Linked DNA regions of Saccharomyces cerevisiae S288C. The protein of the gene in region 1 interacts with the protein of each later gene in a biochemical or structural test. Each region holds a gene or a part of one and is shown on either strand. Other genes may lie near its edges.

Region 1 (3,797 bases):
CCGAACATTGGGCACGGGCATCACAATCTCGTCGTCATCCTCATCGTCGTCGTCACCGTTATTGTTGTCTTTGCTTTTGTGGTTCGTTTCCGAGTCTGAATCTGATTCTGAATCTGAGTTGTTTTGTAGGTTGCTGTCATGCATATCGTTCAGATAGTTTTTCAATAGCAGGGATCTCTCCGCGATTTTCTTGTCTACGGTGAATCGTTCACCCTCACCACTCACTAGGACAACATTAGAAGTCACCATATCTGCGCTACGTTTGTTAGTATTCCTGTATTGTTTATAACGTCTTTTCTGTTATATCTTTGCCAACGTTGGGCTATCACTTTCTCTGCCCTCAATATATCAACCTATTTCTTCCCTTTCTCTTCTTTTCTCCAAGACGCCCGTTAAATCGCTGCAGGGTAATGTCATGTTACCTATTGCACACTTACTGTATTAAAGATTACGCTATATATATATATATTCTGGTGTGAGTGTCAGTACTTATTCAGAGATTAAGGCTTGAAGGAAAACGAGCTGGAGACGCCAAAGTTGCTGTATACGCTGGCGCTCAGATCATCGAGCGGCTGCACAGAATCCAGAGTGGCCAGGTATTCGTTCACGCTGCCGCTATGGGAAGACCCGGCAGTTGTTTGAAGCATTTCTTGGCAACAGTCTTTCATCGACATAGCGAAAACTGCCATTTGATACTGTTGCTGATCTTCTTGGCCAGGTTTTTTCTTGGCTATTGTCTTTATGCCGACCTTGTTCATTATGAAATGGAATGATTCATTTATTAGAGACTCTAACACTATGGATGTTGCTGTGCTTTCGATACATTGGGTCAGTTCATTCACCAATTGATTAAAAACTAGTGTGTTAGAGTGAAAACTTGTTAAAGCATCCGCGTCAAGCGTCTGTGACAGAAGAAACTCCTGTCCACTGGAATCTTTAGGAAGCAAAATAGACGTGAGGTTATTATTATTTTGCTGGAATATTTGGGAATTCGTGTTCCGGAATATGTTCGTGAGACGAGAACTAAATTCTTCTAACGTTAGAGTATCTCTTGGGTGTATGCCGTCAAATTCAATTTCGATTTGATTTGTAATTATTTCATTGTAACTCAACCACCCCTTGTTAAGAATCCACCATGATAGTGATAGGAAAGCTTGCTCATTAATATACACTTCCTGGCCTTCTTTCTTTGACTTTTTTGCTGCCATTACCATTGCATCATCCGCTTTGTCCTCCGGATCGCTCCACCACGATGTAACCCAGTTATAGAACCTATTCTGTAGTTTGTTGCAGTTTTCCTGCTGCATGGTTAATTTTATTGCGGAGTCCAGGTACTCGTTTCTTGTCAGGATATTTAGTTGCAGTCTTGTTAAAAGAATCAGCGACGATACTGTGTACGTCACTGTCACCAGCTTGATCAAACTCTTTAGTTCTAACTCGTTCCACAACTCAGCTTTACTTTTTAACGGCGAACTTTCTCTGCTTTCACTAGACTTTGCTCTAGTCAACTGGTTCTTTTGGTCCTTTAATTGGGTAACGATGCTGTCCAAATTCAAATCGTTTTCATTCAAAACCATTCTCCATACAGGAAGTAGCTCGTATATTGTGTACAACGAGTCTTCCTGTGTCTGCTCGAACCTTCTTTTGATCTGTTCTTTGATGAAGTGTTGCTCAGTAATCCGTAACTGCTGTTTATACAACCATCTCTTCACGAAAAACACTACCACCGACCCTGTGGTAAATAAAGCAGCTATTCCAGTCAATGAAATGAGTACCTTTCCTCGATGTCTCTGCAGAAGCGAACGTGATCTTTGATTTGGGGCCATCCTTTTAGTGGTTTGCCTCCTTGTTTCGTGCTTCTGCTTTTACGATGACTAGTATTAACTACCTCAATAATATACCCCATGCTCATATAAGTCGAATAACGCCCTTATCATTACACACGATTACCAAAATGCAAGGAATTTTTAAGGAAAAAGGGAAATATTCATACATTCACGCAAACTCTACTACTTGTTAACGACATCTTAGCTATGATCGCTCAATAGTGTCACTACAAACGCATAGACTACGACGTGTGGCAATAATAACATACCTTTTATATGTCAGAGGGAAAAGTAGACGAATTTATGGCCATCACTGGCGCTGATGACGCTGCTATTGCCACTCAATTCATCGAAATGGCAGACGGGAACTTGAACACAGCCATATCATTGTTTTTCGAAAATGGTGGGGCTGCTTTACTGAGCAGTAACAACACACCTACTCCGTCTAATTCGACTCCTATGGCGCCCACCTCTGTAGATTCAGATGCCGATGCACAATTAGCGGAGAGGTTGCAAAGGGAAGCTTACCAACAACAACAGCCTGACCAAGATTATGTCAGGCCACCTGATGAGGCAAGACATGAAGTACTTACTGAAACTTCAGGATTCCCAATTTCTTACGGCGGCATTGGCGGAAGATTTGAACCATTGCATAGGGTGAACGACATGTTTGACGAAGGAAGACCTGAAAGCATTTTTAATCAACGATTGGATGACACAAATACTAATACATACATCAATGACAACTCTTCAGATTCCTTGGACTCCGAGGAAGAAAATGACGACGACGAATATGAGTATGTGGAAGAGCCGGTCATCGAACTTGATGAAGACGGCAATATCAAGGAGTACACCAAATTAGTGAGAAAGCCTAAAACCATTTCCAAGGAGCAGAAATTAGCTTTGTTATTTAGGCCTCCATTTTCAATCATGTCCAAACTCGACTTAGACGCTGCAAAGCAAAAGGCAAGGGCAAAGCAAAAATGGATAATGATTAACATTCAGGATTCAGGAATCTTCCAATGCCAAGCCCTCAACAGGGATTTGTGGTCGTCCAGACCGGTAAAAACTATAATCAAAGAGAACTTCGTTTTCCTACAGTATCAATATGAATCACGTAATGCCCAACCCTATCTTCAGTTCTATCACTTGAATAATAAGGATGATTTGCCCCATATCGCGATACTGGATCCAATTACCGGTGAACGTGTCAAGCAATGGAATAGGGTTGTTCCCATTCCAGAGCAATTCATCTCAGAAATCAACGAGTTTTTGGCCTCATTTTCGCTAGATCCAAAGGTCCCTAATCCCACGGTTAATGAACCTCTTCCTAAAGTGGATCCAACAACTTTGACCGAAGAGCAACAAATGGAATTAGCCATTAAAGAGTCATTAAATAATAACTCGAGCAAATCAAACCAAGAAGAAGTGCCGAGTACTGGCGAAGAACAGAAACGAGTACAAGAACCGGATCCATTCAGTACCATTGAAGCCAGGGTGCATCCAGAACCGCCAAATAAACCAGGGATCACTACAAGAATTCAAATTCGTACCGGTGATGGCTCCAGACTAGTTCGTAGATTCAATGCTCTGGAAGACACTGTGCGTACTATTTACGAGGTTATCAAGACAGAAATGGATGGTTTTGCCGATTCAAGATTCACACTAAATGATCACCAAAGAGAGGACTTGATTGATAAATTAAACATGACCATAGCGGACGCCGGCTTAAAAAATAGTTCTTTACTACTTGAGAAGCTTGACCCTGAAATAGAATAAACAAATTGTATGGTGGCAGGTACCTAGATGTAATTAGGTATGTAAGCACTTATAACACGACGGAAATACCCGGATATTGTATTTTTATTTTTTTCCCATTAGCACGCCAAACATAAGAAAAAACGCATACAAAGACGTAAAGGAATAGTTCATAGGTGTAAATACAAAATATATATCACATTTAAGCATAGC
Region 2 (3,316 bases), on another chromosome or scaffold:
CAATTTGAAACTGCTGGTAATCAAGAATTACTAATGTTACAACAAGGTTTAGACGCAGATGGTAACCCATTGCAAGCTCTTCCTCAATTGTGAAAATCTTCCCTTGGCTTTTTTATGGTTGAATAAATAATCATTGTTTTTATCTTTCCTATGCTTTTTTTTTATTAATTTGTGTAACGACTTCTCCCTCCAGCATACGCTCCCAGACTTTTTTGTTTTTGTTTTAATATAAATAATTATGTATATACGTGGGCACCAAGTTGAGGGGGAATTCCTTGTTTATAGTTATGATACGTCTCATATCCTTGTCCTTACTTTCACAATGGTCTAAAATAAAAGACAAGAAAACAAAACTGCAAATATATTAAATTCTATTTTTCTTTTTTAGAAGAAGCTATTAATAATAGATCAAATGTTCCAGCCATTTATATTCACATTGTATACTCCTTCACTTTGGTTTACACCTACATTCATTTGTGCAGTTATGCTTTGAACTTCATTCAAAGGTCGCCAAGACCAGATATGGATCTCCTCTGAAATCTTCTATGCCTGTCCTGCAGATACGGGGGAGAGTCGATAAAAGGGTATGAACTATATCTTTTGTTTTGCTGTTTCGAATGAATACTTGGGGCTGCTATTGGAATATTCAGTACAGGAGCGGTTCGTCTGATAGCATTTTTGAAAGCTTCATTTATGGAGATTGACACGGCATCGGTAGGGTCGCTCGGATAGAGAAAGCTTGCATTTAGATTAGAGCAAGTGTTCGATATCACGGAGAAGCTATTATCTGTACATCCTTGTTCGTATTCTTCATCCAGCAAGTAATTAAGGTCGTCATCATCATAATTATCATCATCATCATCGTTATCATCATCATTATTAATTATTTCAGTATTGGGGGGCTCTATGTCCGAAGTAGGCGGCAGTTTGAATTTATCGCTCAAAGACTCATTATTCCCAATAGTAGCTCCTTCATTAATATGCGAAAATTGGCAAATTTTGCTAATGACGTTTTCAAAAGCTTTCACACTATTTTCCAACTCTGATTGGGATTGACTAATCAAAGGTAGAAATTCGATTTCCCAGTACCGTTCCGGATTATAAAAGCTAATAAAGTATTTGAAACCTGCGCCATTTAGCCTTGTTATTTGTAGTTTGGGTAGTACTGGATGCACAATATCACCATGTCGTCCTATCGATAAATAGTTTACTACATGCCCATCATGACTACTAGCTTTACTAGATTTTTGAAAGGGCGCTATATTTTCCTTTAACTTATCAAACCCTGTACATATCTGATATATTTCAATAGGTCCTTTTGCCATTAAAGATGTAGGTTTTAACTTAATAGTGTTTTGACTGTCTTGACTTTGCGTATCATTGAAGAATACTCCACTACTTTCAGTGACATTATTTGCGGATACTTGGGAATTTCTACGAATGCAACTGCTATTCGGAATATCATTATGAATGGGAACGAATGAATTCATAACCTGAACATTGCCATAGGTAAACAATGAAAATCTCTGAGTTGATATTCTTTTCCTTTGTGTTCCGGTTTTCTTCGAGGACGTGCCATTTTTTTTGGCTTTAACAGATTTATTTGTATCGTTTGAGTGTTGGGTCGAATCCTGTTTCAACTTTTTATTGTTGCTAAGTTTAAGTGACTGTTTTAAAGTTTGAAACGTAGATTGAGGTTTCTTTTCTTGTTTTGCCGTTAATCTCACGCTATTTTTCTTTGTTTCTCCCCTTGATAAAACCATACCACTTTGTTTAATTTCCTGAGAGTTATCAGACGAAAAATGTAGACCTTGTATCCTTCATAGGTGAAGGAATACTTCCTCCGTAATAAGGTAATTTAAAGTTCATAGTTCATTCACTCTTTTTGTTTACATCTCCGTTCTTCGTGATAAGTTCATAGATAATAAGAGAACAAAGTATTTAACGCACATGTATAAATATTGTATTAAAAGGGTACCTTTATAAATATGAGATCCGAGGGACGTTTATTGGAATTATCTTTTAAATCGTCTATATCACATATTCCAGTATACATAAGTTTTAATTTTAGAAAACGTTTAAATAAACAAAGAGAAAAAAAATAAGACACAAAAAATAACAGTATCTTTATTCTTGACATTCATAAAAATGCATGATAATATTGGTTTCATGGGGTAGTACTTGTATTATTAAAAGAAAGGAACAAAAAATTCATTGTTCAAAAGCTTAGAGATAAAAAAAAAGAATTATAGACACAAAAGAAAAACATGGGTTAACATTAATTGACATTAATAATAGAAAGTGTAATAAAAGGTCATTTTCTTTTAATCAACTCTCTTTCTTCCAACCAAATGGTCAGCAATGAGTCTGGTAGCTTGCCAGTGAATGACCTTTGGCATTCTCATGGAAACTTCAGTTTCATAGTCATACAATTGTCTAATGGAGTTGTAAACGACATGTGAACCCTTAACACCAACGACAGCAGCAGTGTCAGAAATGGTCTTGTCATCAGCGTTGAAGTTTTCTTCGGCAGCACGAGCTTCAGCAATGGCAGCTTGGTTGTCTTTGATGAAGCCGACAGCTTTAATGGCCATTCTAGTGGCTCTTGTTCTATCAATTGGAGATGGCAAACCACCTTGTTGTACATGACCTGGATAAGCTGGCTTAGCGTCAAATCTGCCATCGGCTTCAGCAGTAATAACTTCAGCCAATTTAGTGGCTGATAAAGCCTTAGAAGCGTTTGTACTCTTCAAAATCAATTTACCAAATCTACCTCTACCTTCTGCCTTTTCAAAAGATTGAGCTAAGTATTCAATATCCTCGGACAATTGCTCCAAAGAAATACCTTCTTCTGGGACATAAGAGACTTGAGCACCAACAGCCAAAGAAGCGTAAGTGGCCAAATAGCCTGAGTTACCACCTTGACAATCGACAACGAAGGCTCTACCTCTGGTTGAAGAAGCGGATTGTTTAACAACATCACAGTATTCCATTAGAGCATTCAAAGCGGTATCAGAACCCAAAGAGTATTCAGTACCTGGAACATTGTTAGACAAAGTAGCTGGTATCAAGACCATTGGGATTCTGAAAGCTGGATAACTTTCTCTTGCTCTCTCTAATTGATGTAAAGATTCAAAAGCTTCGAAACCACCAACGATGATCAAACCATCAAATTCGTACTTTTGGAAATAGTAAGCAATCATACCTAGATCTGCTTCTTCTGGAGTGACTCTGTTAGTACCGATTTCAGAACCACCACGGGATTGCCAACCCAACATATCCTTCCAGTTCAAAGAACGAACACTTTCATGTCTTG

What was found.
Region 2: the proteins of PEX3 (region 1) and INP1 form a complex in vitro, tested with the Saccharomyces cerevisiae proteins (4 studies listed by BioGRID).

What each region holds. Positions count from the first base shown.
Region 1 is NC_001136.10:1,125,770-1,129,566, forward strand, and holds PEX3 (Pex3p), read right to left. Parts: upstream 1,827-3,797; coding exon 501-1,826; downstream 1-500. Other genes in the region: SCF ubiquitin ligase subunit SKP1, read right to left, coding at 1-249; DNA protein crosslink repair co-factor UBX5, read left to right, coding at 2,103-3,605. UniProt on the Saccharomyces cerevisiae protein: Involved in peroxisome biosynthesis. Acts as a regulator of MSP1 by inhibiting the ability of MSP1 to unfold target proteins.
Region 2 is NC_001145.3:669,563-672,878, forward strand, and holds INP1 (Inp1p), read right to left. Parts: upstream 1,764-3,316; coding exon 501-1,763; downstream 1-500. Other genes in the region: TOM complex pore protein TOM40, read left to right, coding at 1-93; PFK2 (6-phosphofructokinase subunit beta), read right to left, coding at 2,325-3,316. UniProt on the Saccharomyces cerevisiae protein: Required for peroxisome inheritance.